Yarrowia lipolytica: one gene and its partners. The protein of the gene in region 1 interacts with the protein of each later gene in a pairwise test. Links are inferred from orthologs where the notes say so. Each region holds a gene or a part of one and is shown in the gene's direction. Other genes may lie near its edges. The genes, in order: YALI1_A14390g, YALI1_C02831g and YALI1_E28170g.

Region 1 (10,049 bases):
TGATTGGTGATGATGGATGGTGGTGGTGGTGGTGGTGAAGGGTAATCGGTGATGATGGGTTCACAAGACCCAAAAGAGGGCATTCATCACGTCTTGGCGATTGGAACGCGTCATCGTCGGACAATGACGCTTGGAGTCCATCCTAACACGTGTCCGCAGTTGTGTTGTCCATCTTATCGCCATTTTTAATCGCCATCTTATCGCCATCTTATCGCCATCTTACCTCCGCCATCTTTAGCCATCTCTTTCTCTGCCCTTGCCTCTGCCCTTATCTCTGCCATCCATGAATCATCGAATCTGCATCACCCGTCAGCCTCTTGGGTCATAGGTCACACCAGACTCTACAATACTAACCCAGATGAGCTTCCCCCAACAAGTAATAGCGCCGGGCCAACGGCTCAACGAGCTTCTGGAGGCCATCAAACAGGAGTTCGACTCCGTGACCAACGAGGCGTCCGTCTACCGGCTGCACAAGGACGAGTTTGACGTCAAGGTGAACCAGCAGACGTCAGATCTGGGCCAGATTCGACAGTCGGTCTACGAGCTAGAAATGGCGCACCGAAAGATGAAGGAGCGCTACGAGGAGGAAATCATGCGGCTCAAGAGCGAGCTGGAGGCCCGAGGTGGACCCGCTGCGAACCCCGCACACTCCCAGCAGCAGCAACAGCAGCAACAGCAACAGCAGCAACAGCAGCAGCAGAACCAGCAGGCACAGGACCAACAAGCACGGGCCGCGCAACAACAGGCAGCCCAGCAGCAGGCCCTCGCCCAGCAGCAGGCCGCCCAGCAGCAGGCTCTGGCCCAACAGCAGGCCCAGGCTCAACAGCAGGCCCAGGCCCAGGCCCACCACATGGGTGGTGTGCCCCCTTCGCAAGGACAGCCCCCGTCGCTGCTGCGTCCATCATCCAACGTGTTCAGCGGCATCATGTCCGGTCAGCCCGGCACCTCTTCTCTGGCTCCCCCGCAGGGACAGCCCGGTCAGCCCCAGCCTGGTCAGCCCCAACCTGGTCAACCCCAGCCCTACTCCGGCTACGTGGGTGCTAACGGCTACACGTCTTCGCCACATAACGGACCCCCCGTCATCAGCGCAATGGCCTCGCCCAACAGCAAGAAGCGACAGGTGTCGACCCCCGTTCCCGGCAAGGCGTCTCCCCAGGTGGCCCCCCAAGAGATGCAACAGCAGCAGCAACAGCAGGGCCCTCCACAGCAGCAGCAACCTCCCCAGCAGCAGCAACAGAGCCCCGAAGAGATGGGCAACTACCTGGGCGACATGGACATTGAGCGGGTACCTCCGGAGCTCAAAAAACAAAAGGCCGACTGGTTTGTCGTTTACAACCAGCGAGCACCACGGCTGCTGGACGTGGATATTGTGCAGTCGCTGGACCACAACTCTGTAGTGTGCTGTGTGCGGTTCTCCGCTGACGGCAAGTACATTGCCACTGGCTGTAACCGATCTGCCCAGATTTTCGACGTGCAGACTGGCCAGCTCATCTGCCGGCTGCAGGACGACTCGGTCGACCGAGAAGGCGACCTGTACATCCGGTCCGTGTGTTTCTCGCCGGACGGTAAGTACCTGGCCACCGGCGCCGAGGACAAGCAGATCCGAGTGTGGGACATTAAATCTCAGAGCATACGGCACGTGTTCACTGGCCACGAGCAGGACATTTACTCGCTGGACTTTTCGCGAAACGGCCGACACATTGCCTCTGGCTCTGGCGACCGCACAGTCCGAATGTGGGATATTGAGAGCGGCCAGTGTACTCTAACCCTGTCGATCGAGGACGGCGTCACCACGGTGGCCATCTCGCCCGACGGCAAGTTTGTGGCTGCAGGCAGCTTGGACAAGTCTGTGCGAATCTGGGACACCTCTACCGGTTTCCTGGTTGAGCGTCTGGAGGCCCCTGATGGACACAAGGACTCCGTCTATAGTGTAGCTTTCACCCCCAACGGTATGGATCTTGTTTCCGGCTCGCTGGACAAGACGATCAAGCTGTGGGAGCTGCAGGCTCCTCGAGGCATTCAGGCCAACCAGCGAGGAGGCGTCTGCGTCAAGACGCTGTGTGGACACAAGGACTTTGTTCTGAGTGTGGCCAGCACGCTGGATGGGCAGTGGATTCTTTCCGGCTCCAAGGACCGGGGTGTGCAATTCTGGGACCCTCGAACGGGCCAGGTGCAACTCATGCTGCAGGGTCATCGAAATTCGGTCATCAGTGTGGCTCCTAGTCCCATGGGCGGGTTGTTTGCTACTGGAAGTGGAGATTGCAAGGCTCGAATCTGGCGATACTTTCCTGTCAACAGATAATCCTGGGCGGTCGCGAGGCCGGACGGGTGTCTGGCAGTTAACAAAGACATTAGATGTCTGGATGAAGCCTGCTCCGTTTGCACGCAATCTAGGGAAGACAGGGCTATGTAGTGTATAAAATTTTGTGGTATTATTATTAGACAAACATGGAGTTGTAGTGGTGGAGTATATGCGAGTGCAATACTGTATGTACTTGTTGACGATGGGGTATCAACGTGCTATGTATACTTGTACTCGTTCATGTTTACCCTCTTCAGACAGCTGGTGTTGACGTTTTGGTCATGTGAATGAAGATACCGGGTGGAGCCGAAAAGTGGAGCTGAAAATGTCCCCACTTTTCAACTCAGCTCGGTTTCTGCTCTCTTGGTTTTTGTCTGTGATTACTCTAACGCCAGCCTCTCTCTAATGTCCACTCATTCGCCACTTACCATGAATGGCTCTGGACCTTGTTTGCTCAATAGCTCCACGGCTCCCCGTGGTCCCCATGTTATTGATGCTCTCGGCACCTTTGTTGGCAACGGCTCACGGAGATCAGCAGCTCCACCCAGCCCGCTGGCCAATGCCACCACCATCAACGCGGCCAACGTCAACCCGTCCAACTCGGGCCTCAACCAGCCGCCGCAGGTCATGTCTCTCAACGAGCTGCTTGAAGTGCACAACGATCCGCAGCTCGACGCGCGACTGCCTCCCGAGAACCCCAACCGGCCCGTGATCCGCCACCAGCGCGAGATTCTGTACGGCAAGTGGAACATTGGCCCGTCACGGGCCGACAGACTGGCAGCCAAGATTCGCAACAAGTTTGGCCCCACGGCACGCAAACGACGCAAGGCCATCAGAGAAGACGAGAAGAAAAAGGCCCTTGAAGAACAGCCGCCAAAATACATGCTCACGGACTTCCACCATCAGCTGGTGCAGGAGATGCGAGTAGTGATTGAGAACCAGGAGGCGGTTTTGGAGCAGCTCACGAACCTGTTGTATCAAAAGGACGCCGAAATCGAGAAGATGCATTACGACATGATGTTGGTCTCCACTCCGCCAAATGGGACCCTCGCTAGTATTCGGGAGGAGCCCGTGAGGCGGTTTGGCGGAGGTTGTCGTGAGTAGTGTTTCAGTGGTGATAGGACCCTCGCCAGTGGTGGGAGGAGCCGTTCTCAAGAGGCATGGTCATACGTGTGGGTCCACCAAACCGCATTATCAGGGCGTATATGAGGCATCTGTGAACTAGATTGAGGTATGTTAGCTACAAGTAATGGACAAGTTGAGTGTTCATTCATCCAGAATGTTTCAAAGGCCTGTTACTTCTCTACAAGTACAGGAACAGATATGAGCACAATCACAAGCACGAAAGTGACCAGAATTCAAATCAATTCCATCATCTCCTCGTTTCAATCTTCCACCATTTTCACTCGAACCTGTTCTTTGACCAATAACATCTTATGTCTTCTGAATTGGATGGACATAACTGGATCACGTCAAACCGAGCAGAGAGAATTCCAGTCAGTGAGCAGGTTCAAGCACGTCATGGAACGACTATTTTACAAGTACTTGTACTTGTACTTGTACAATATACCAGGTCAATTGAACTTCAAGATTCGTCAGTCGGAAAACGTGAAAGATATCACTCACCTCTTATTCACCCTAATTCACCTTCTTGCTCACATCCATACATCTGCCGACTCCGTACTAACCCAGAATAGCCGCTACTACTGACAACGAAAACAGTAATATTGGGAAATACTTCCGACAACCAACAAAACATCGGAGAACTCCAAACCTAACGTTCACTGATCCACTGAAATCCACTCTCCGAAGATACCCTACTTCTCAATACTCTTCATCTCCATACTCTTCCAATACTACAACCGTTACACAACAACCACTTTCAGCCCGTCAAAACACCGACTTATTCCATCTCAGCCAAAGTTCATAACTGTCATCACTTATTATCACCATTCAACGGAGGTGTAAACGTACAATACAAACTACCGTACCCCTTACCCTGTACCCTGTACCCCAACCCTAACCCTATCATGAACCCCTCAAAAAGAAGGTTGAAGTATGGCGTGGTCAAATTCAGTTACCCGGCCGCAAAACGCAAACTTTATGCGATTAGTAATCACAATAGTACAATCAACTACGAAACGCTACGACTTTGGAGGACACAAATCCGGCGAAAACAACGCCCGAAGATGATCTTACGAGTGGCTAGAACAATGGTATCCCTTCGCCCCCTCATTTCCCCGCAGTCAATAGAGTTTAATACGCCACTGGTAGCGTATATATCCGAGATGGCCTCAACTTCCACAACCTTCTCACGGAACCCTAACCCACAGGTTTTGGGAGGAGGCGGCGCCCCATCGATCACGAGGTTTGGAAAAAACGGCGTGCTTGACGAGGAGGAAAAATTCAAAAAAAAACAGGCCGTGACGAGACACACAATCTTTCAGGCGACACAGCGAAATCGACGACAAGACCAAGCAGCCACAGCGAGAGGAAACGGGCGGAGAAAAAAACCACACCAACAAACAAATAATAACTCATCTCGCCACGCAACATGGCCAGTCGACGATCAAGATCTCATGCGGTTTCGTCTGCGGAGCCGGAATCCAAGTCCACATCACCGCCGCCCACAGACGCGCTGCTGCTGAGACGGCTACAGAACGCGCTGACGTTACCCAACTCGTTTCTCAAAACCAATGGGATCGATCTTTCGGAAGATGCACGTGTTTCTGTGAACGGGCTGGTGGAGCTCCAGAACGAGTTGCGGCAGATTCGACAGAGGACCCGTGGCGTGCTGGAAAACCACAAGGCCGTGATTCGGGCCATCGACGAAACGGTGGGACGCCGGGAGCGAAAGGGAGGCAAGAGCGGAGGTAAGGGTGTCGGAAAGGGCAAGGGAAAAGGACCCAAGCAGAGCAGCAGCTCGTCGTCAACCTCGTCGAAAACAGCAGCAGCAGCTTCTGGAGGGTCTTCTCAGACCGAGAATAAGGACATCAAAATGGAAGATGTGGACGAACTACCCGCGGAAAAGAAGATTGAACCGGTCAAACTCAACATTGATAGCGATCTAACCACGATCCAAACCTCTCCCCCCGGAGAGGGCTCCCCCAAGGAGTATGAAAAGAACCCAAAGTCCGAGTTTGTCGACTCCCAGACGCTGCCCCTGTCGGTGCTCAAGCTCTACGACGAAAAAACCATCCCTTACACCGGAGAGGAGGCTCTCAAGCTGAAATATGGAGTCGCCTCTTACCCTACCACGGACCTAAAGGACCAGTTGGCCGGCCCAATCCCGGACCAAGACTACACTCGGGCCAAGCCGCCCAACCAGGTGCAGTTTTCGACCTTTGCGACTGCGATCGAGCCCTACTTTCGACCCTTTTCCGAGGAAGACGTGTCCGTGCTCCTCCAACAGTCCATCCCGCTTGGAGCCACGGGTGCTCCGCTTTACGCCACGGGCAAGGATGCAGAGATCTCACCGTACCTCGTGCCCCCTTTGGGTCCCCCCTACACCGACGCGTGGGCTGCTGAAGACGCCGAGGCAGGTATTGCTGCTGGCAACGCAGCCTCAGCGTCCCGGTTCTCGCCGCCCCCAAAGACGGAGCTCGCGGAGATTGAGCCCAAGGGCAAGAGCGAGGATCTGGTGGACGACGCGCTGGAGAGCTCGGACATTAGTTGCGGCCCTCTGGCGTCGCGTCTGCTGTCTGCGCTGCTCCCGGACCCCAACAAAAAGGAAATCAAGGAGGAGCCTAAGGACGACGAGAACAGCGCGACCCCTGCCGCCGCAGTGTCGTCTTCGCCTCCACAAAGCCCGCTAATCAACCCCAGCTGGAAGGTGGCGACAGCCAAGGGTGACTATCTGACGCTGGAGCAGCGGCTCAAGCGCGAGTTTACGTACGTGGGAATCATGGACGTGAACAAAAAGAAGCAGGGCAAGCGGTTCTCCAAGCGCGACGACGAGATGGACCTCATGGACGATCTTGACGACGACGAGAACAACGAGGACCTGGAAATCGACTGGGTGCACGGCCGGGAGGACGACGAAATCTGCCAGCAGATGCGCGTGCTGCAGAAGAAGCTGCGCCAGGTGCACAAGACCAACCAGGCACGCAAACGTATCCTACTGCCCATCGTCAAGGAGCAGATGGCGTACCAGGAATTCCGGCAGATTCTGGAGGACCTGGACAAGCAGGTGGACCAGGCCTACCTCAAGCGGATCCGCAACCCCAAGTCGAAAAAGAAGAAGCAGCAGAACAACAATGGCACCGCTGTACCTCAGGAGCGGCCCGGTCTTCGAGTGCTGCTGGACAAGCGAAACCGGTGGATCGACAAGATTGGGCCTGTGTTTTCGTCATCTCCACACGACATGAAACGAGTGCCGTCTGTGTCTGTGTTTAAGGATCTTGAGGGCAGTGATGATGAGAGTGACGGAGGCGAGTTTGACGACTCCATGTTTGTGCAGTAAGACGCTGATGTGCAGTAAGACGCAGATGTGGGTGCTGGGAAAAGGGTGGCTATTGCCGCCCCATATAGTATATAATAGAATGGATGGGATGGTGACAATTGAGGTGGTGACAGATGGCAGTTGCGTCGCGTAGAGGGTCAGCGTACTTATATTGTAGTGTGTTCTGAGGTCTGAGGGGTTTCAAGACAAGAGACAAACAGAGGTCCGAGGCGAACATTGTGCCAGCAGTTCGTACAGAATGTACGACATACAGTACATACTGTACAGAAATGTACTTGTAGTGGCAGACTTGAAACATTCACAAGGAGATTTCCGACATGTGCCCGGTAAGAAGCCCTTGTAGCCACGGTTTAACCCTGCTGTAGCTGTAACCATCCTCTGGCTCACAGTAACCATGCGGAATGTCCAGCCCTGTTCTAAACTCCATTATTGTACGGAGACAACTGCTTTTGCTGGGTGACTGACAGACGGTGATCAAGCGACGACTGAGGTAAGCAGTAACTTGGTGGCCGTAGTGGAGTGGCGAGCGGGGTTAGGCGCGAAACATGGAGACACTAGCGGTGGTCACGGGTAGTCTGGGTGGTTTGAATCCATGTTGAATGTCTAGTATCATTCCTGGAGACAATGAGTCGTCATAGCCACTCTATCTGATTGTGGCATTCTTTGAAAGGAAGAGTGTAGGAAGAATGGGCTGAATGGTGAGCGAGAGTGGGAGTGGGAGTGGGAGTGAAAGAGTGGAAGAGTGGAAGAGTGAAGAGTGGGTGGAAGAGTGAAGAGTGAGTGAAAGAGTAAAGAATGAGTTGAAAAGTAAAAGTGAGTGAAATAAAAGAAGATATAAGTATTTGTCAGTCAGTCATTCAAAACCATCTCTTAACAGAATGTCACTTATCTCACTACAAGACAACAACATACAATACCGTCAGATCCGTGATACCAGTACAACCACCGTACAGAAAGTACTCGCGCCCGAAACAAACATTCTTGTACCTCAAATCCATCATATAAGACACCCACATTGCAACATACAACACCCACACTTTGCTTTCCCGTAAACCATGCTCACTCTGCTAACTCTTCTCACTCTGCTCACTCTGCTCACTCTGCATCACATCAACTCCTAAAGCATCACGGCATAATCGCCGAATAAAAAGCGTAGGAGGTTTGTCAAATCTCGTGACCACCAGTACAAATCTCACGTGACGAAATAATATGACAACCTCCACGTGACCCGTTCTTTCGCTCTAACCGGCATTGCTAAACCGCGCATAGCAGCTGCATTTGCAGGACAGATCAAAATGCGTTTGTCACGCAAGGTCATGTCGGGCACAGGGCTAGTGCACGACGTTACGGCAGTCTCATCTTCATCGTTAAATATATACAGGCCATTCCAGATGGCTATGCTATGCAAGGGACGTGACGGTGAGGGAGGGTGAAGGGGAGGGGGAGTAGAACGGAGTCAGGCTGGTTCAATTGGCGTAGGGCTTTGGCGTAGGGCTTTGGCGTAGGGCTTCGACGTTGGTGTCGGGCTTTGAAGTAGCTCAAATGACTCAACTCGCAACTCGATCCAGAACTCGCAACTTGATCCAGAACTCGTCTCGTCCTAGACTCGCTCCGCTCGCCTAGTCCTCGCCTAGATCACGACCCACGCTGCTTCTCATCACCCACTCGCTTTCGAGGACAGTAGGGACACAGTCCGTGGGTGCATCGCTTACAATCGTAGCGGGTGGGCGGCTTGCCGTGGTACTCGCCACACTGACAGCAATACCACTCTGTGATTGTGTTGGGGTCCGAGGGGTCCACCATGACGACCAATTGTTTCATTGTGGCAAGTGACGTTGGTGATGTGGTGGGTGGAGCGGGGGCAAGTGTATATATAAGTATGTGCTGTTCCGGTTTCAACAGCAGGTTGGGGCTGTCTGATCAGTCGGGTGTGTGAGTGAGTGTGAAGTTGGGGGTGTCAGGCTTGCTGGATATTTTGGGGCTAGCGGTCAGACACGGGACAGTTTGAGACTGAAACGGTGGGCGTGTTGATGAGCGCGATCTTGGGTGACTATGGCGGGTTCTTGGGATGACTATCACGGGTTCTTGGGTGTCTGTGTCGGTTTGGTACGTGGTCTAGAGGTCGGGAGGCGGCAGATAAACAAAAAAAGAAGCCGACTGGTGGGATACTGTTGATGTCTGGAGACTCTTTCTGTCTCTTTCTGTCTCCTCTCTCGGAGTCCACCCTCTCTCCTTCTCTCCAAAGTGTGGGCTCAAACATAAGCTCTTATGGTTTCGGCTCTTTGGGGCCAACTCTACCCGCAATAGACGCTTTAGCTCATCCGCAAGTGATGCTTCAGGCTCCATTGTTTTTCATTTGCCGAAACACAAATCGGAGGAGATGGAGATGATATAAGTTCGTCGGTAGTGGGAAGGCACGAAAGGTGACGGGGAGAATGGATACACAATCTTGCTCTCGCTCCGCGGTTAATTCCTCTTCAGCCGTTCTTTTTGGCCCGTTCCTTACTCCATCCTCCGTTGACGGCCCATTACAGTTCCTGGTTTTGCCTCTGGCACCCTTTGCGAGCCCAAAACAGCACCGTCCCAATCCGGGGCCGCCGATAAAGGGGCATCTCTTTTCAAAACGGCGAAACTAGTACCTGATTTGGGCGCTGCAGGCGTATCCAACCTGCCACCGGCATATGACGGCCTTCCACACGTCGAAAAGCCCGCAAACTCCGTTGGCGCGACTCCAATGGGCCGTATTGGCCTCTCGTGACGGTGCTGTCAGTTGACTGAGACATGCAGTGGAGTGCAGCGGTGCAGTGGACCGTGGTCAGCACTGCCTGTTTGCATGCAGTAAAACAGAATCTGAAACATGGCTGAAAATGCGCATCAGGTTGGGCTAGGTGGTAGTTCGTGCTGGTACATACAGTACGAGTACGAGTGCGAGTACGAGTTATCGTGATATGACCATAGGTGATAAGCTTCCCCTCTGTCCACGTGAAGCTTCAACAAGTGTCTCAAATGGTCGACTTGCCACAGGTACAATTACGATAGTCGGTTTTGTCGCTTTGACCGTCAAAGATCAATTCGTCCCCAACTTACACCGAGACCGTACAACTGTCGGGTGACGACGTATCGTACATATGATGCGTACATCCCGGTAATACATACTGTACAGTTCCTGTCGTACATACAGACCATTCAGGCACCCCTCGCTGTATACTACGATACGAGTCGTGCTAACAAACAGTCAGAATGCTATTTGATCTCGTGTCCAGGTCAATCCAACAGGATCGACCG
Region 2 (10,727 bases), on another chromosome or scaffold:
GGAGATTGAGGCCGAAGCCTCTGAGCCCATGCCCATGCCTGGTACTCCTGCGGTTCCCGGTGTGACCACCACGCATGATCCTCTTCACGGCGAGACCGAGATCTCCTTCAACGATCCCAAGCACACCAGCAAGCCCAAGAAGGACGATGGTGATAGCTGTGGCACAGGACATTGCAACAATTGCGTTTGTGATGTTTAACCGTGTGAGAACAATAACAAAACAAAAGTCGATGGACAAGCGGACTTGATATATATGAATTGATTATCAGATGGAAGGGAGGGATGTGGGATAGACTTGCCAGAGGCATCAGACCGATAATGGAGTAGGAATGTATATGTGTACTGGGCATTACCGGACAATGTTGTCTTATGAGAAGAGAAACAAGTCTGGCACATTACCAAGTCCAGAATTTCACTTCTAAACACGTCCACATTCGGACCACTCAACCCGCGTATATTCTGCTTCAATGGGCACGTAAGTTTCGACAGAGGTACATCTGACGATTGTCAATAGTTTCGTATTTTTCTTTTCTTTATCGGCTTTCAAACGGGCCCATTTTCGTTTTTCTCACCTTTTTTTTTATTCTTTTTTTTTATTTTAATGATTCATTAAAAAACCTTTTTTTTTTAATTCTAATGATTCATTAAACTATTTTTTTATTCTAGTAGGATATCACCCAGCCACTTTTTTTCCATGGTTTCCATTCGGTCCTATGGCACAGCGGTAGCGCGTGAGATTGCAAATCTTAAGGTCCCGAGTTCGAATCTCGGTGGGACCTTCTTTTTGCACTGCCTGAATGAGGCGTTTATATTTTGTTGATTTATTTATTTTTCTCTTTTTTATTGTTTTTTTTCTAATTTTTCGTTTTTTTTTTGTATTTCTTTATTTCTTATTTCTACCTTAATTGCAGAGTTCTCTTTCTGCTTGTGTTTTCAACAAAATTTAGTTGGGACTAAAAAACGGGTGCTCTAGAGAGAACACTTTATTGAATATCATAAGTATTATTAGTTAGGGATAGTTAATAAAACGACTCATCGCAAGGACACCACGTTCCTGTAGCACTCGCCAGAAAAATTCTAGATCAGTAGATAAACCTATCTACAGGACATCGTCTAATATGGACATCTCGTCTACTACCAGGCTGGTTCCTCTCATCACTGTGTCATGAGCTCTGATCATTATGTGAGGAACTGACCCGGAATCACCTTACCGGGTATTTCAACACACATTGGGTGAGACTAGGAGTGGATAAAGGCCCATTAAGTCTGGAGGGCGGTTGTTCTTGAGACTAGAATAGCTTGGTGGTTTTTTTGCCCTCAAAAATTCCCATCAAAGAACGGTACGCCGTAGAATGGCAGTAGAAACGGTGACATGGGACGACGAGTAGGTAGATACTGTACCGGTAGGTGCTTGTAGTAGGTACCTACTTCAATGTCTTCATTCCGGGATTAGACAGCTTAGATTGGTAAAAATCTCCGATTAAATCAACAGCATGGTTCTTCTGTTGACCACCCAGAGGGAACCGACTGCTGAATAGACACTTTTGGTATCAATACTTTGGTAACAAGAACAAGAAAATTGTCATTCACGGTAGAGATGTCCTTTCTTGGAGCCCTCCATCTCCCCATTAACGACTCTTGCTGTACATACCTACTCATCTCAGTCCTGACAAACACAATTAATCAACTGCAACAATAGCTGTGGACTGAGAGAAATAGTGCCGTTTAGATAGCTTTTTAGAGCTGTTTTAGCCGACCGGACTGCCAAAACCGCCACATCTTCCTCCTCGGCCCGGCTGACGTTGGGGGAAGATGTAGCTAGAGCCTCTGAGAAACTGAGACGGGGGTCGGTGACGGTCGACGTAAGGATGCTGTTTTCCCGGCAAAATCTACTTTTGGACTGTTTCTCAGTAGTCGCCATTCGTCTAACAGTCTGCTGTAGTCTTGCTGAGTCCAACTGTGGAGTGGTTCTTTTGTATTTGGCAGGCTGGACGTGTCTTATTGAAGGGACATTTCTCGGGGTAGCTTTAGATAAAGCATATGACGTCCGTTGGCCTTCAGTTTGGGGTTTTTGTCGAAACTTTTCACTTCTCTGTTGGGCATCTTTTGTAGCGTGTGTACTGGCGTCCCTGTAGCCAGAAGTGATCCGGTTGGCGTGTTTGAGCTGTGCAGAGTCCTGTCCCGCTCTGTAACTGGTCGGAGATACCCATCTGGGGCGTCCGATGGAGTTGGATTTGTGTCTTTTGGCATCTTTCAGTCGCTGGTCGTTTCTGATTCGGGCCGCTTCCAGACGAGCCTTGCTGTCAGCTAGTTGCGCGTTGAGCTGTCCAATGTTTATGGCCATGGAAGAGGTTGAGCTGGTGTTTAGAAGGAGATGATGAGCTGGTGTAGAATATCTCGAGAGATGGAGAAGAGAAAGAGACGATCTTAGGTGGTGATGTAGTTTAAGTAACAACCCAGTTCTGGTACAAGTAACCAGGGAAACAGTGACTGAATATTGAAAACTGCCAATACGTTCGGTGGTCTCATCTTCAAGTATCTATGTCGCCTGTTCAACCTCCAACTGAAATAATACGGGTTTTTTAGTCGAAATTTATAGCGCATGTGGAACATGTGGCTGCTTAGTTGGCTCTTAAGTAAACCCAACTAATGATACTGACCCATATCCTACACATGGCCAGTCAAAACAAATCAGGGACTTTAACAGCTGACTAAAATTCACTAATACGACGGTCACGTGATCTTATTATCTATCTGTGAAAAGATCAGCTCACTTGTATTTGTGAAATCGCGAAATTGGGCTGTTTCGCCATGTATCAATGCCTAGTTCTCTTCATGAGTATAGTTACATTTAGTTGACATTAATGGAGATAATACCCTCCTGAATGGGGAAAATCATCCAACAGCATGACGACAGCTTTCACACCTTTCCTTTCATCTTCTAATCGAATTTCCCGTTAAAATCTTCCACTTGAAACACGTGTTTTTTGTTTTGTTTTATTCTAGTCCTTCTGCTGTCGTTGATACAACATTCTCTCCTCTCCCCAACAAAAACAACCCCCAGAGGCATCAGATCAACATTTATCGAGGTTTTTGTATGTGTGAATGTATATAGAGCCCTCTGCAACTTTCCACAATCAGTCCCCTCGCCCATTACGCCCTGTAAGGCCAGAAAAATGAATGGGGGAAAAAAAGCCAGATTTCACTGTAGCTGGGTCCAAACAGAAAAAAATTATAATATCACTGATGTGGTGGCTCAATGGTAGAGCTTTCGACTCCAGTCAACTTGGTTGTAATCGAAGGGTTGCAGGTTCAATTCCTGTCCATGTCAAGTTCTAACAGAACTGACAGTGGAGGAACATATGGGGGTTTAATTCCCCTAGCTTCTAGCTGATCAGTGATTTTTTTGAATTCCACACAGCGAGAACGGGTCTATTTTTTTCCTTCCAGGGTATTCCTCCAATGCTTTACTGGTTTTTATCTCCTAGATATCTCGCCTTTTGCTCATGCGGCTCGGAAATTGTGCCCTCAAAAATGAGTCGGAATATGAGAGCTGATCCGACCGTGTATAGACCAGAATGTAGATGAAAAGTGTATGAAAATGTCTGAGTGGAAACCACAAAACAACTGAATTCCCAACATTCTGCTGCCATACAATCTGATTACGTAACAGAGACTTATCTAAGGGTGCAGTATACAAGTTCACCTTCATCTTCCAAACACACATCGCTCATCTATCTCCTCATCCACAGCTTCTATAGTAAATCCGACAATCACAATTGATTCAGCGGAGCGGGTTTGATCACCTCATCAAGTCATCAAGTCCTGTTCCCATCTTCTGTCATATCCTGCTTCCCCATCTCCTATCCAGCCCTGCTCAACCTCCACTGACCTCAACTCCGTCAAAAAACACCCCAGATTCTCAAAAAAACACCCTCACAACTTCAAAAACTCGAGTGGAACCTTATAATCAACTCCCCTTTCCATTATCCCACTTTTTCCGTTTTTTTATGTCGCCCCAAAACCCGTCTTTCACATCTACCCTGCATCCTCCTCCGGAACAAAACAGTCCGATATAGTGTAGGGGCTATCACATCACGCTCTCAAGTCGAGAACCGTGGAGACCGGGGTTCGATTCCCCGTATCGGAGTGTGCTAGACGCAAGTAAGTAAGCGTCACCTCTCTTTTTCCCTCCCCACCCTCACTACGGCATTTTGGTAGGACGTGCTTACTAAGCGCCAGACAATTGGTACACGCTTACTAAGAGATGCCTTCTCTCGTCTAAATGTTCGAAACCTTATGTACGATTACATAAGCAAATTTCACAAACGGGGTTCCCACATTTTTGTCAGATTCCAGACGTTGCCATTATCAGCCAAAATTCTTGATTTTTACCTTCAAATTTGGTATCGGGGAGGAGCTCAAGATACGCTGATTCCATAAATCCACTCAGATTTTCAATCCACCCAATATTTGGTCCTTAACGAGGGTGATCACTTTTCTCATAGAAAAATTAAACTTTCCCAGCCACTGACCAGAAGGGAAAGCTAAACACGAAATTGGAGACGGGCATTCGGATGTGTTGCTGACGAGCTATTGAAAATCTCAATATACAGATCGACTCGAAATCGCTTATATCACGGGAAAATCTTTTCAATTTTGAAAAAACCGCCCCCCACTCGCCATTTATCGGTTTTCAACCCTATACACGCTTACGTAAGGAAATTTCACAAGGTGCATGTCCCAGTTGGTGTTCACGAACATTTCGGTAGTCTCTTTTGCTCCACACATCACATTTCCACATCGTTTTTGAGCCCGTCACAGCCCAAAATGCGCGACGCTTCAACCCAGGCGCAAGTTGATGCGTTCCACAGCCGTCTGAGCGATGATTCCGGTGAGTATTGAGCAGGTGAAGAGGCGGAGAGGTGTGAGACACCCAGTGATGGAACTCGACAAAATGCGAAGGAGACGTCTGAGTGACAAAAGAGGTGGATAGGGTGAATAACACGATGGAGACGAGCCAGGATCACGTTTTTTTGAGCTCATTCGACGGTTTTTGGGCGAAATGGATGTGGTGTTGTGATGGTCAGTGAGAATTGTCTGTAGAGACGCTGGCATAACACCAGTGGTCGACACTATGGGCTCTGCTACTTTTGAAAGGCTGGCATAACAGTGTTCCTCACCACGGACTCTGCCACTTTTACTGTAGCACTTCATATTCGTCCGTTCCAGCGTCCATTCGCCCATGCATGCTACACTGTCTGTCATATCGTCCTTCACCGGTCTAAATCGTTCGGTTTGGCATTCTCGTCGCTACATATCGCCATCATCTCGAGAGCAACATATCGTCGCTCTGCCCTTTCATCCATTCGCTCTTGGAGCTCCATTGAACTCCGCTAACCCAGACCTAAAATCAAAAGTAGTCGCTGCGTCAGAACTCCGAGATGCCGTTGATTCATTTCAATCTTCCCCCGCAGACTACGAATACTATCTGCAGAAGATGATGCCGGTATACACCAAAATCTTGGAGTCCACCCCCGTGTCTTTCACGAGTATTTCCGTCGAGCAAGTGAGTACGATAGAATCATTCTAGAGGAATGGCAAGAGAAAAACCTGATAAATGCAGACGACACACGAGATACAACAATCACCTCTCATCTCACTCGGTTCCTGGTTCAATCTCAGAGATGAGGAGTGACTAATATGGACTGGAGGATACTGTCACAGTTGTTGCTGCTGTTGATGAATGACATCTGCCACTATGGCTCTCAGTATGTCTGCCTTTCTTCACTTAGTCACTCACCCCACCTCCCGTACTAACTCAGAAACTCCGATCATCGATCCTCGAAATACTCCTTCGTCTACAAACCAACGATCTCCTCAAACCCTACTCCTCCGCTCTGTTGGAGCAAATCATGTCCATCCTCCGTACCGACAACGAAGAAAACGGAGTGACATGTATGAAAATCCTCACGGCCCTGCACAAGGGCTACAAGGCGCACCTGGGCGGCGACCACGTGACCCAGTTCCTTGAGCTCGTCACCGACCTCTACAAGAACATCCCCTCGGTCGTCAAGGACACGTTTGGCGTCAACCAGACCGGCTCCTCAAACTTCCAGTCCCCCATGTCGCCGTCTCTAGTCTCTGACGGAGACGTGAGCGTCGCCACACCTGGCGGAGCAGCTTCTCGCCCCCTGGCCAAGTCGTTGTTCTCATTCAAGGTGCTCATTGAGTGCCCCATCATTGTGGTACTGCTCTTCTCCACCCACAGAGCCATGGTGCCCACACTCTTGCCTCAGTTCCTGCCTCACGTGATTGAGATGCTGAGAATTCAAGCCCCTCCCCAGGCCGAGGCCCATGCCCAGGCCGAGGCTCGTGGCGATATCCTGACGACCATCTCGCCCCAGATCCGCAACCGCGCGGCTTACGGCGACTTCATCACCTGCCAGGTCAAGACCATGTCGTTTCTGGCATACGCGCTGCGAGGCTTCCCGCCGTTTCTGCAGGAATATCACGTGATCATTCCCGATCTCGTGGTGCGTCTTCTTCAGGACTGCCCCTGCGAGCTTTCCGCCGCTCGAAAGGAGCTCCTGGTCGCCGCTCGACACATTACGTCGACGGATATAAGGACCATGTTCATCCCCAAAATTGACATTCTGCTGGAGGAGCGGGTGTTGATTGGTGATGGTCTGACAGTCAGAGAAACGCTCAAGCCGCTGGCATACTCTATCATGGCGGATCTCATTCACCACGTGCGCAGCGAATTGACGCTCCAGCAAATCTGGAAGACTGTCAAGGTGTACTGCGCCAATATGCTGGACGCGTCGCTGGCCAACTCGTTCCAGATTATGAGTGCCAAGCTGCTCCTGAACCTTGTGGACCCGATCATGAAGCTGCAGGATCGCAACGAGGGCCGTCAGACCATGGTATTGATTCTGAATGCCTTCACAGAGCTCTTCGGTGCCCTCAACAGAACATATCCCAATGTCATGAGGGGCCACGAGCGGTGGCTGAAAGAGCAGGCTGAGAAGAAGGCTGAAGGTGGAGACAAACCCATTGCTGAAGTCAAGCCCGAGGAGGACATCCAGGTTGACGTGAAGCTGGGAACCTCTGCTGAGTCATCTGGGCTCAAACGCAAGGCCGAGGACCTAGAAGTCGACGAGGTCGAGTCCAACGATGTCGTCCCGCAGAAGCCCCGGATCGAATCCGAGTACGACTTTGACTACTTTGAGATCCAGGCGTCGTCGCTGATCAAGATTCACCCTACTCCCACGACGGATCCCCTCGAGGACGCCCGTTACTTGTTCAAGAACCTCATGAACTTCCTCAAAACGGTCATGTTTGGCCTCAAGTCGTGCAACCCACCATGTCCAATTGCCGACATTAGCGAGGCTGTGTGGAACGAGTCCGCCCGACTGTTCAACTTTGAGCAAATTACTATCTTCCGCAAGCTGTTTGAGGAGGGCATCAAGGGTCATCTGTTTTTCGCCTCTCACGTGACCGACAAGACCGCTACGGTCGCCAACAACGACCTCGGTGCCCCCTCGCTGCCTGTGGTCAGTTCCAAAGCCGAGAAGGATCTCATGGAGACATTTGTGACCGTGTTCATTCACATTGACTCGGCGTCGTTCAACGAGATCATCGAGAGCGAGCTCCCCTTTCTCTACGACGCCATGTTCTCCAATTCTGCACTGCTTCACATCCCCCAATTCTTCATGGCTTCCGAAGCTACTTCTGCCAACTTCTCTTCGTTGCTGATTTCGTTTCTGAAGGAGAAGCTCCCTGAGCTCGGAGACGGAAACATTCAAAAATCAAACATTCTGATCCGGCTCTTCAAGCTGTGTTTCATGGCGGTGAACCTGTTCCCCGCTCAGAACGAGGCTGTTCTTCTACCACATCTCAAGAGTCTCATTATCGACTCGATGAAACTGACCACCACCAGCAAGGACCCAATCGTGTACTTTTACCTGCTGCGAACATTGTTCCGAAGCATTGGAGGAGGCAGATTCGAGCTGCTATACAAGGAGGTGCTCCCTTTGCTCCAGTCGCTGCTCGAGTCACTGAATAAGCTGCTTCTGACTGCCAGAAAGCCACAGGAGAGAGATATTTACGTCGAGCTGTGTCTCACGGTTCCCGTGCGTCTTTCTGTGCTCGTCCCGCACCTCTCCTACCTCATGTCTCCGCTTGTCGTTGCTCTCAACGGCTCTCAGGAGCTCGTGTCGCAAGGTCTCCGGACTCTCGAGCTCTGCGTCGACAACCTCACGGCCGAGTACTTTGACCCCATCATCGAGCCCGTTATGGACAAGGTGATGCAGGCGCTGTGGAACCATCTCAAGCCGTTGCCGTACTACCATCAGCACTCGCATACGACTTTGAGGATCCTGGGCAAGCTGGGTGGCAGAAACAGACGTTTTCTGACTCCTCCCGACAACCTCAAGACGATTTCCGCGGTGCACAATGATCTGGCGATCGTGGCCAAGTTCCAGGGCGTGGAGGAAAAGCTACCTGTGAACATTACGCCTGCTCTGGAGGCTTCTGTGGCGATTCTGGAGGACTCCAAGCGGCGTCTAGAGTACCGGGTGAGTGCGTTCAAGTACCTGTCGGGCTGCCTGAAACTGCTGATCGACGCTCATCCTATTGCATCTGATATGAGCGAGACTATCAAGAAGGCGGTGACTGCTCTGACGATGGAGGGTTTCCCCAAATCCAAGGATAACGGCGAGTACCACCTCAAGGATGGTAAAGTCAAGTACCCCGTCAAGCGCAAGCTCGAGGATGAGCTACTGACGATGCTGCTGGAGTCGCTCTTCTTCTCTCTATCCATCGACGCTGTCAAGGAGGAGGCCACTGAGCTTATTCACAACCTGTGCGACCATTTTGTCTTCCTGAACCTTGGTAGATATGTTTTGGACAAACGGAAGGAACTCACCTCGTTTGATCTCAACGAACATGAGGGCAAGACCTTTTTGGACTGCAAGGCAATCATTGGCGCTATCATGTTTGCTCTCAGCCACTACAATGAGTCCATCAAGCAAGGAGGTATTGACGCTATTAAGCATATGTTCAACACCGGTGTTACTGTATTTGGCAGCAAGGAGCTAGCGTTCAAGTTCCCTCTGTACGTGTCCATGTATAGACGCTTCTCGCATGGCTGCTTCGAGGAGGAGTACTACCGCAAGTACGGCGCTGTATTAGGTCTCAAGACGCTGATGCAGGACCTGGACTGTCCACTGCGGTGGATCCAGGTGAAGCAGATTGAGTTCACCCGAACCATTCTGTTTGTGTGCAAGGACGTGCCCCCGGATGTGCCTGGTCACGTGAGAGATGTGGCTCGAAATCTTTATCTCCACATTTTGCGTCGCTGCAACACTGATCTGTCTGCCGAGCAGATGGCAGACAAGTCGTTCAAGCAGGTGGTTGGTTTGCTAGCCTACGATCTCGGCAACGCCAACATTTCCGTGCGGGAGACTTCCAAGCAGGCTCTGGCTACTCTTGCTGAAGTGACAAAGTCTGCGTCCGTGTCTGCCATCCTTGAGCCCGTCAAAACTATTCTACTGGCTCCAATTTTCGGCAAGCCGCTGCGAGCTCTGCCTTTCCCTATGCAGATTGGCCACATTGACGCCATTACCTACTGCCTGGGTCTCGGCAACGGCTTCCTGCCCTTCAACGACGAGCTCACTCGTTTGATTCTGGAAGCTCTGGCATTGGTTGACGCCGAGGACGAGTCTCTAACTGCTGCTCACCGAGTATTCGAACAGCGAACAGCCGAGCAACTCGTGCAACTCCGAATCGTCTGTATCAAGTTGCTGTCCGCTGCACTCGCCCAGACCGAGTACACGGCGATCCAGGCACCTCCCACTCGGTCCAAGATCATTGCCGTATTCTTCAAGACGCTCTATTCGCGATCCGACGCCGTTATCGAAGCTGCCCACCAGGGTCTGCGGTCTGTTCTCTCCAACAAGAACAAGTTGCCCAAAGACCTGCTTCAGAATGGACTCAAGCCTATTCTCATGTCGCTGTCGGACCACAAGCGACTGTCCGTGGCCGGCCTTCAGGGCCTCGCCAAGCTGCTAGAGCTCCTGACGTCTTATTTCAAGGTTGAGATTGGCCGCAAGCTGCTGGACCACCTGAGAGCTTGTGCTGAACCTCAGACTCTCCACCAACTGGCTACTCATAACCTGTCTCTCCAGCAGAACGTACAGATCATCGTGGCCATTTTGAACGTGTTCCACCTGTTGCCGTCTACCGCACACACATTCATGAACGATATTGTCAATATGATTGTATATCTGGAGAGAAATCTGCGTCGTCAGCAGAAGAGTCCCTTCAGGGTGCCCGTCGGCAAGTTCTTCAACTGCTACCCCGAGCAGACGTTTGACTACTTTGCTCCAAAGCTGCAGGACCGAACACTTGGTCGGTTGTTTTCTTCGATTTTGACCGAGGACGTTTGTGACGAGCTCAGAGGCGTGGTCATCACCCGTATGGACGAACTGGTGGCCAAGATTGGCGAGTTGCAAGGTGGACAGAGAGCAGTTGCCATCTGTAACCTGGTTGAGGTGGTGGCTTCTGTGAACGCCAAGCCAGCCAAGCCCAAGGTGGTGAAGGAGGAGAAGAAGGAGGAGGGAGAGGCCGACGGTGAGACAAAGGCAGTGACCAAGACAGAGGATTCCACGGCTGAAATCAAGCCTGTCATGACCCCCCAGCTCCTCTCCAAGCTCGTGGGCCAC
Region 3 (9,844 bases), on another chromosome or scaffold:
GTTCATGTCCTTGGCGGCGCTGACTCCTCGCTGGAGCAGCTCAGCAACGGGTCGGCCCATTCGCTTGGCAGAAAACTGGCACTGAGTGATGGCCTCACGCACGTTCATCTTACGCAGCATTCGCAGCAGCAGCTGGGCCTTCTTCCAGGTGCCGTCGATTCGGTACGACTTGCAGTAGACAGAGGGCTCGAACGCCTTGATCTCGTTGGGCGACAGCACCATCTGGTACTCCCGGCCGTCGACAGACACCTTTTTGGTCTTGTCGTAGCCCTTGTGCTGGCTCTGGTAGGCGTCCCACAGCCGCTGCTTGAGGGCGGTGCCGTACTTTGCAATACCCACCTCCGCCTCGCCCTTTTGCTCGGCAATGTACTCCTGCAGCTTGGTGTCGTTTTTGAACGATGGCAGCTTGCCCTTGGTCTCGTCGGCGTTCTGCTCGACCTCCTTGGATCTCTTGTTTGCCGTCGCCTTGTCCAGATCCTGCTTGATGGACTCCTTGTTTTCTGTCATGCTGCCGAACCAGTCGTTGGATCGCGCGGCGGTAGAGTGGAACGGCCGCAGGGCAACCAGCCGGGAGGCCGGCGCCACGCTTTTGCCAAACATCTTCTTCCACAGCATGGTTGTGTGTGCTGTTATACGGTCAGTGAGGGCTCGTATGGTGATGCGTCAACTGGAGATAGATTTTTCAGGGTACGGGTTAACAGAGAGTCAACCTAAACGGGAGAAACTGCAACAACCGTGAGACAAGAGTATACTGTCGGAGCCGAATCGGAGTTAGGAGCGATATAAGTGGTTGTAGGAAGGAATCTTGTCCTCGTTTACACATAAGTCGGTCGAACAACACCAATAATCACCTCATTCTTCAATCCCCATCCTTTCTTCAACCCATGCAGTAGTCTGGAGAGTGGTGTCGGGTCCCGTGGGTTCGATTCCAGGTTGTGTTCATTCTTGTATGCACTTTTAGAATTGTTAATATGTTGATGAAGAGCACGGTTTTTGGTTATCCTGGGGTCTACGTATGTATTAATTCTGTCTTTTGAATATCTCTACTATCATTACTTGTTTCAGTAGACACCTCCTCTCTATATATACTCGGATATATTGACATGATTTAGTATACACAGCCAACAGAGTGGTTATTATTGGTACTGGATTAGTAAGCAATGTAAGATCACGTGAGAAGACACAACCGAAACAGCTGTCTCAGATTCTTCGCTCTTGACACTTGTATCTCTCTCATGGTGTCTGGAAGCCCGCAACCGAGACATATAGCATGGTCTTTTTTAGTTGACTTTTAGTTGAAAGAAGAAGTTGTGATGGGTTTCTGTCTGGTGCTCCAGTTGCTTTCGTAGAGAAAAAAGCGTATAAAACTGTAGAGCAGTGTCACACAGTCTCCGATATATACTATTGACATGATATTTCTGTTACAAACTCGCCCATTCGACACAGTTATGTGATTTCAAGCTGATACTTTACTTGAATGTTTAGTTGACAAGTGTGTCTGGCGTGGGTCCGAATACAACGACTACAGTGCTCTTTGAGATTTGCAGTGTCCACTCTCTCTACCCTCTCATGTCATAATCATTAAATATGTAAATGCAGTGTATCACGATTTTCTATCCTCACGGTCACGCCATGTCTCTCAGTTCCACCTCGCCCGAACGCAACAGTCGATGGCCCTCATCGCTGTCGTCTTCTTCTCCCATCACTTCCACGTCCACGGGCTTCACGTACTTCCTCTTGACCAGAGGACGACATCCCTTGTATTTCACCTGCTGGTAGAGCAGAACGAGATCCCAGAAAAAGCGGAACCAGCATGCCCAAAAGAGACCCGAGGGACGCACGGCCCGCACGACTTTGTTTCGGTTTCTCTCCTTGGTGGGCTTGGCCTTTTTGGCGCCCAGAACGTCGAGAATCCCGAAAAACGCGCCCGCCAGATCCAGCACAATGAGCAAAAACGACGAGCCCACACAGCTCTGCACCGTCCAGTTGCACGACACCTGCGGCACGTAACGGGCGTAGACGCTGAAGTCTCCGATGATTCCAAGCCAGTCCACCACGTCAATGAACTTGATACCCAGATAGCCGACTCCAGGAGGCGAGGGCACCTTTGCAAAGGGATGGGACTTGACCGCCATCAGCAGGAACACAAGCACGCCGAAAAAAAGACCCATAATCACCTTGCATTCCAGAGACCACGACTGCGCATTGGTCTGGGTGTGTCTGTATGAATACCACGCCTGCACAGCACACACGCCCCACACCAATGACTCGTTCAAGTCAATTAGGGCAATCACCCCGGACGCGCTGGGCATATCAAACGCTAACGGGTATCTCTGCACAAACTGCCGATGGACCAGATCGCTGTTGATGTATGTGAGGGTGAAGACGAAATGACACACCGCCCCCACGAACGCCCAGAGTCCGTAGTCGAGCGAAAAGCCAGCCACCGACGACCGTTTGTTGTTGAGAACGGCCTGCGGATACGGCGTAAGCAGCCGCAACGCCTGGTGCAAATATATCCATCCCGTCATAGCTGGGTCGATATGCCGTAATTATATATGAGATGAGGTATATATTGAGACCGCGTATGCATGCTTGGTGCAGTATGCATAAACCTTAATATGATACATTATATAGCGGGGTGAGTTGGATATTGAGGTTGGCTGATATTGAGGTTTTGTCGATTGGGGAAAGGAGATTGGCGAATTTGGTAGACAGAAGAGATATTGTGATACATGTTCACACACTCTGCGGTTCATCCAGTACTTTGTAAGCGTAATATAGATTCGACTGTAACTTGCCCATTATTCTCACAGGCGACTAAAGAATAAAAGAAATGGATTCCTCAGATACAGAGGATCATTTTGGTACCAGGAACGGGTGGTTTAGATGGCGTTCATGTGCTGTTATGTGTTACTTTGACTTGTTATGTTGATGTTCTACTTAGAGAGAGTGGGAGTGCGGCAAGTGCGTCGCGGCAAGGGGTGTGTTTCCCCTGTTTTTTTTTTCCCCCTCTTTTTTCTTCTTCTTTCTACTCATCGCTTTACCACCCTCCTTTGGCGCATCTAACACTCCAACCATAGTCCTTCGACTCAATCGCCCAATTTGATCTCTTCACTTGTCACCAACCTCTCCTGTGCAGTTGTCATGTGCTCCACCACAACTCCTCTTCCTGGCGACATGACAAATGGGGCTACTCACGATCATCAAGAAACAAAAGCTCAAGGATAAGGAGATCCGTGTGCTCATGCTGTGAGTGAGAGGAAGCGACGTGTCTGGGTGTGAGAGGGAACAGTACTAACACAGTGGTCTGGACAACTCGGGCAAGACGACGATAGTCAAGAAGATTCTCAACGAGGACGTGAACGAGGTGTCTCCGACGCTGGGCTTCAACATCCGCACGGTGACAAGGGGCCAGTACAAGCTCAACATCTGGGACATTGGCGGCCAAAAGACTCTGCGACCTTTCTGGAGAAACTACTTTGAGAAGACGGACTTCATGATCTGGGTGGTAGACGCCAGTGCCACCGACCGACTCCACGATTGCCGCAAAGAGCTGCAAGCGATTCTCAACGAGGACCGACTGGTTGGAGCCGGAGTGCTCATCTGGATCAACAAGCTGGATCTGGTGGACCCAGATCAGCGGGACAAGACCGTTGAACGCATCAGCGGCCATCTGGACCTCGACCAGATCCCCGAGGGCCACAACACCACCATAATGGGCTGCAGTGCGTACACGGGGTACAATTTGGACGCAGGCATGGATCTGGTGGTGAAAGAGGTGTCTGAACGGTTGTTTTTGTTTGATTAGGAACGAGGAGCGAGGAGCGAGGAGCGTCTACAGTCAAGACTGGACTAGGAGAAAGTCGAAAACGTCGAAAAGTTGCATCTAAACGACGAAAAGAGGGTCTTTAAGTCATCAGTGCACGGCAGAAGAACCAAAGTGCTTGAACTGGAGGAGAATGTGGGTTGAATGGAGTGTGTACTACCTACAGTACTTACAATACTTGGTAACTGAGTTGTATACCCAGCTGTCAGGAATATGAAACCAGGTGGTTTTCGAACCCGATAATTTTCATAGATGGATAGAATAGATCTCAAGTACTGAATTATTTGTACGAGTACTGACATTTTGTACTTGTTCTTCTACTCGTACTTACTCAGTTCTTTTTTATTCTTTTTTTATTTTTTATATATATTTTTTATATTAATTTTTACACTCACCTTTCCTTCTCTTTTAACTAATGGTTCTCTAGTTTAGTTGACTAATATTAGATCTTAGTTAAGTGGGTTTCGATACATACTGCCGTTCTCATGCTCGTTTTAAAAGTAGTTCCTTTTTCGTAAGACTGATGAAATTACTGAAGAAATGACAATACTCTCACCTTTGTGTTTGTGTCACTCTCTGTGGCCCCATTGTGAATATAAATGCCCCCTCGTGTCCCCCTCTGTCCCGCTGTGCACTCCCGTTTAACTTTGGCGGTTGCAACATGCGGAGCTAAGTACGATACTTCCAGGACACTGCCAGTTTGCACGACACGCAAATGTCCAAAGACGACTTTCTCGACGACAAGGCGCTGAACCAGCTGGAGGAGGAGGACGAGGAGGAGGACGACCAGCAGCATGAGAACGAGGACGATTTGTTTGAAGACGCGCTGGAAAACAACATGGAGATGGACGACACGGAGGATGTGGTGATGGGCGATGGAGACGAGGAGGCAGAAGACGAAGAGGTCGAGGAAGAGGAGGACGAGGAGGTGGTGACGAGGTCCAAGTCAAACGGCCACATGGCGGCGTCGACGTCGAACGGATCGCACATTGTCTTTGATGACAGTGGCTCCAGCGACATTCCCGAACATGTGCTCAAGTACACCGGCCGCAGAAACATTCCGCTCTGTACCAACACAGACTCGTGCGAGGGCTACGACATTGTGCCATACGTGGCGGCGATCCACAGCTGTCCCGTGCATGCGATAGATCTGTCGTGGGAGCTAAAGTGGATGTTTACCGGTGGCCAGGACGGCTTTGTGCGCAAGTACGATTTTTTTGCGTCCGTCAACGGCAAGCTGCCCCTGACGGTAGCCCAACGGCATCCGTTTGTGGACTGTGTGACCAAGGCTGGCGTTCTGACGTCGTACTGGGAAAACGAACAGCCCGTTTATGAAACAGACATCAAGCCTAAGGATGGGCTCTACGAGCCCAAGCTGTCGTGCGTGTACTCGCTGGCGGCGCATTCGCGGTGTCTGTGGCTGCTTTCGGGTTTGCAGAGTGGAGGAATCACGCTGATGAGCGTACGACACAACGAGGGCCAGATCCAGGCGTACCTCGAGAAACATACGTCTACGGTATCGGTGCTGGTTCTCAACCAGTGGGAGAACAGACTCTTGTCTGGATCGTGGGACAAGACCGTCAACGAGTGGGATTTGGACACGGGCAATGTGGTTCGGACGTTTGACGGCATTTCTGGCCAGGTCAGCACCGTGCAGTATCAGCCAGTCGGAGGCGCAATAGTGTCTCGAAATCTGGGTCTAGAGGGGCTGGATAGTGACAGAACGGCCCGGGGCAAAGAGATTCTCGAGGGAGACGAGGAGGAAGACGACGACAAAAGCATGGGGTCGTTGTTCGGGTCGGACGAGGAGGAGGAGGGCGAGTCCGAGGTGAAAAAGGAGGAGGTGGACGTGGCAGCAGATAAGGAGGCCAGCGAAAGTGTCAAGCCAGGTGATGGTGATGGCAGCGAAGAGCCGACCCGCAACACTACCTCGGAGTCCATATTTCTCACGTCGGCCATTGATGGAACAGTAGACATTTGGGATAGACGGCAGCAGCAGCGAATCACACGAATTGCGGTGCCTCAAGGCACCCCGCCGTGGTGTATGAGTGCATGCTGGTCGACCGACGGAGACCGCATCTACGTTGGTCGACGAAACAGCACGGTGGAGGAGTTTTCGCTGCGAGGCAATGTGCACGAGCCATCTAAGGTGTTCAAGTTCCCGTCCGTGTCAGGTGCCGTGAGCACCGTGGCTGCCATGCCCAATAACCGACACGTGTTGTGCGGCTCTCACGACAATGTTCGGCTGTACGACGTGCAGAGCTCCAAGCAGCAGGCTGTGCCGTTCTGGATTGTGCCGGGACATCAGGGCGGTATTCTGTCGTCCATCAAGGTCGATCCTAGTTGTCGATACATGGTCACCTCCAGTGGAGACCGAGGCTGGAGTGGAACCACCAGTACAGATGTTGCCTTGGTGTACGAGATTGATCCCATTGTCGGCACCAAGAATCTGTGAGGTGGGTGGAGACTGGGTTGGATAGATGGAGACTGGGTTGGATTGCCCATGACTGATCCTTCAAAAGCCCTTTGTAACAGTATTAATGTATTATATGAATGGTCTTGCACGACCATACGGGTACACACCACACGGGCCTAACCCGAGAAGTACACATCTTGGTAATAATCATAATGTATTGTCGTCATACTATTCCTTTTTCCTCCTTCCTATCACATGCATATATACAGAAAAATGTCGGTGCTATCTGGCCGAGCGGATCGGTTGGTTGTCCGTCTCCGTCTCCGTCTCCGGGTCCCGGTCCAGTCCGACGTGGGATGCGATTTCGTCGTTGGATTCCGTCTGTAGCAGCTCGAGCTCTGCTGTGTCGTCTTTGGCGTATCCGGCGGCCTTGGCCTCCTTTTTGGCCTCCTGGGCGTCGAGGAACTTGTCCACGGCGACGCGCAGCTTTTGGGGCACATTCCAGCCATGCTCGTCGGCTATCGGCAGCAGTAGCGCCACGTGCTCCAGGTACGAGTAGACGTCGTTGTTGTCGACGGCAATGTTCCAGAAGACGCGGGCCTTTTCCAGCCGTCCGGCGCGAATGTGGGCGTCCAGAGGGATGAAAACCACCTTGTTGGTGGGCGTGTTGATGGTCATGGCCAGTCGGAGTGCCTCTTCGGCCAGATCGAACCGCCCGCTGTAACACGACGCCGTCACCAGCGTGTTGAACACCTCGGGGGCAAACATGTTCACCTTGGCCACGTCGACAAAGTCTCTGACAAGCCACAGACATTGCGAAATGTCGCCGGTGCAGCGCAGAACCGACGAGACGAAGGAAGACATGAGCGCAAACCCCATGTCGCTGAGCAGCCACTTCCACCGCGCCGGCATCCGGTCTCCCTTACTCAGCTGAACCGCTACATGGTCTCGGTACTTTTCGTACAGATCGCGCACCAGCTCCACCTGGTCGGCCTGGTCCAGTATTGCGCGGTAAAGGATATGCAACGAGGCCACGTCGGACTTGTAGACGCGGAACCCGGCCTTTCGGGGCTCCAGTTGCGGCAGCTCGCCCAGCGCAACGTCCAGCGGAATGGAGTTGTGGGCGCTGCCCCGCAGAACAAAGGCAAAGATGCCCAGCTCCATGAGCGAATGCGGCGTGTACAGCTGACAGTAGACCGCCAGCGTCTCCTTGAGGTCCTTGCTCTTGGCCACCGCCTCAAAGTAGTCTGTGGCAATCTCGGTGGGGATGTAGCTTTGGGCCGCCACGTCCATGGTGTGGGTGATGGCCTCCTCGTAGTAGCCACGCTCCTTGTAGCCGTGGATCAACAGCCCGTAGCATTGCAGGTCCGGAGCACAGCCCTTTTCCTTCATTGTTTGGAACACGGACACTCCGTCTCGCATGCCTTCAAACTTGACTGCGCGGTAGAGCAGCATGCGGAAGGCGCCCATGCGCGTTTTCTCATCCAGCAACCGGTCGGCAAACTTGGACGAGTTCATGACCTCGATGGACGCCTCGGCATCGCCTCGGTTGCACATTAGATACATGAGCGAGAAGATGCTTTCGTCCTGGTACCACCAGCGTTGCGATTGCTGCAGATGGTAGTCGACGAGGTCCTGGCGTGCCGAGGGCGACACCTTTGACACTTGTAGAGCGAGTTTGGAGAAGGTTCGGCCGTCGCAGGGGTACTGTCTGTCTCTGAGGATCTGCAGAAACACATGGAGCCAGTTTGGAGGCAGTTGGTTTTCGATCCGGCTCGAAAACGGCACGTTTGGAGGCAGACCCGTCTCGTGGTTGTATTTGGAAAAGAGCGAGCACAGGTGCGCCAGCTCCTGGTCCGAGGGCTTGGGCGACGGACACACGTGGTGCGAGGCGTAGCGGAAAAATCGGTCCAGGTTCAGCTGGTAGCCCCATGCGTTGCCAATCGGCAGGTCGTAGACGTACTGGGTCTGGGCGAAAATGCTGTAGAGATCAATCACCAGTTGCGGGTGCGCCTTTGTGTTTCTGAGCGAGCTCACGATGTAGCCCATGAGTGCTGGGGCCAGGGTAGTCTTGCCCAGAATCCGCCAGATCCGCCGCGTCATGAGATACTTGCAGTCCTGGGGAGGCGCCCCAAGCATGTCGCCGTTCATGTCCACGTGCAATGCGCTTTCGATGGCTCCAAACGCCTGGCCCAGCAGCGCGTGATCTGCATTGAGCGAGTCTTCCGTCTGGGGAGCACAGTCCACATACTTGATGGGCATGGCCTTGCGGGCAGCCAAACGCACGCCCAGCGCCATGAGATTCACCATTTTGCGCCGCTGCTGGCCCGCAGAAAGCCCCTCCTGGTTCATAGCGGCACTTTTCAGCCGGTTCACCGTCTCTCGTCCATACCGCACATCGTTGCCAGCCTTGCGAGTCCGCCCTCCATCCAAAAACGACCACTGGCCCTTATACGCCACAAACCGCTTGTGGTCATCCTGCCACAGACTGCTCGGACAGTCGAGATGGTCGTAGAGGCTCAGGGAGCTCCGGGTGTCACCTCCGCTCCATAACGGATCGTCGTCAGGCAGCGGAGGCTTGTACCCCAGCTTCGGAAGGTACGTTGCCCTTCCTTTCTTCACCCTAAGCATGGTCCGTAAAAAGCTCGTGCGAATTCTCCAGCCGTAGGCAAACCGCAGCTGTCGAGGTAGGTTGTCTTTTCCAGCAGATCTCAGCCGGGCCTGAATGATCCCACATATCGCACCAAAGTTTTCACCTCCATTGGGAATCCCTAACCCTGGAGGTATTCTCGGGGGAAAGCGGGGGCCGAAATGAGGGCTATATTGTGGGGGGCCGAGAAGGGGAAAAATACAGTCATTTTTACCACCTACGATTGTGTCGACTCTGAGCAAAAAAATCACGCTTGTTGTTTCTGGGGCGGAAAAAATAATCTGCCCGGTACCAGGGTCGAACTGGTGATCTTCAGATTATGAGACTAACGCTCTAACCAACTGAGCCAACCAGGCGGGATTACAAGTTTAAAGCGGCGTTGGGAGTATAAATCGGGGAAAATGTGATCCAAAACCCGCGACGATTTGGTCAATAACGGGGTGCCATTGGGGGGTAAATGGATATTACGGGGAAGATAAGTGAGCGTAAGATTCATATGAATCAAAATTCTGAACCGTAGAGTGATTTCCGGTGAAGTTGGATTGATTGTCGCACAGGGAGAGGAGCAACGAGGATTAACACAATGTTTGTGTGAAAAAAATGAATGTGCTCAGGTCACGTGGTTATAAAGCGGACGTCACGTGACTATAACGCCCCATTACTACGTGGGTCGATTCTATCTAGAGTCATCAGCCTCATTGATTGTCTTTCTTGAGATTTTCCTATTCCAGATACCGTACAAGTGCCTATTAAAAAGTGCCTGTTGAAAAGTACAAGTACCTGTTTTGTGCATGAGTTATGAAAGACCTGTTTGAGCCTCATGGAATGATGAGAGGCTCATTTGAGTGTTAAATCTCATATTCTTGCGGACTGGAAGTTCCCAAGAACGACGCCAATGAACTTGTACTACCCAAAGGACGTTTCATGGGACGTAATGTGACACAATTTC

What was found.
Region 2: the proteins of YALI1_A14390g (region 1) and YALI1_C02831g interact in binary tests that used the Saccharomyces cerevisiae proteins (3 or more experiments, as listed by UniProt). The link is inferred for Yarrowia lipolytica from reciprocal best matches to the Saccharomyces cerevisiae genes NGG1 and TRA1.
Region 3: the proteins of YALI1_A14390g (region 1) and YALI1_E28170g interact in binary tests that used the Saccharomyces cerevisiae proteins (3 or more experiments, as listed by UniProt). The link is inferred for Yarrowia lipolytica from reciprocal best matches to the Saccharomyces cerevisiae genes NGG1 and SPT8.

Annotation. Positions count from the first base shown.
Region 1 is NC_090770.1:1,434,154-1,444,202, forward strand, and holds YALI1_A14390g (uncharacterized protein), read left to right. Parts: upstream 1-4,856; coding exon 4,857-6,764; downstream 6,765-10,049. Other genes in the region: YALI1_A14345g (uncharacterized protein), read left to right, coding at 359-2,302; YALI1_A14368g (uncharacterized protein), read left to right, coding at 2,708-3,406; YALI1_A14377g (uncharacterized protein), read left to right, coding at 3,536-4,012; YALI1_A14414g (uncharacterized protein), read right to left, coding at 7,181-7,249, 8,178-8,334, 8,404-8,585; YALI1_A14430g (uncharacterized protein), read right to left, coding at 8,685-8,879, 8,934-9,110. UniProt on the Saccharomyces cerevisiae protein: Component of the transcription coactivator SAGA complex. SAGA acts as a general cofactor required for essentially all RNA polymerase II transcription. At the promoters, SAGA is required for transcription pre-initiation complex (PIC) recruitment.
Region 2 is NC_090772.1:278,278-289,004, reverse strand, and holds the start of YALI1_C02831g (uncharacterized protein), read left to right. Parts: upstream 1-4,830; coding exon 4,831-4,894; intron 4,895-5,405; coding exon 5,406-5,569; intron 5,570-5,825; coding exon 5,826-10,727. Other genes in the region: YALI1_C02904g (uncharacterized protein), read left to right, coding at 1-199; YALI1_C02873g (uncharacterized protein), read right to left, coding at 1,318-1,436, 1,491-1,629; YALI1_C02866g (uncharacterized protein), read right to left, coding at 1,661-2,344. UniProt on the Saccharomyces cerevisiae protein: Essential scaffold subunit of the transcription coactivator SAGA complex. SAGA acts as a general cofactor required for essentially all RNA polymerase II transcription.
Region 3 is NC_090774.1:2,812,452-2,822,295, forward strand, and holds YALI1_E28170g (uncharacterized protein), read left to right. Parts: upstream 1-4,544; coding exon 4,545-6,284; downstream 6,285-9,844. Other genes in the region: YALI1_E28130g (mitochondrial 54S ribosomal protein uL22m), read right to left, coding at 1-615; YALI1_E28150g (uncharacterized protein), read right to left, coding at 1,626-2,531; YALI1_E28156g (uncharacterized protein), read left to right, coding at 3,188-3,252, 3,307-3,811; YALI1_E28213g (uncharacterized protein), read right to left, coding at 6,528-8,876. UniProt on the Saccharomyces cerevisiae protein: Component of the transcription coactivator SAGA complex. SAGA acts as a general cofactor required for essentially all RNA polymerase II transcription. At the promoters, SAGA is required for transcription pre-initiation complex (PIC) recruitment.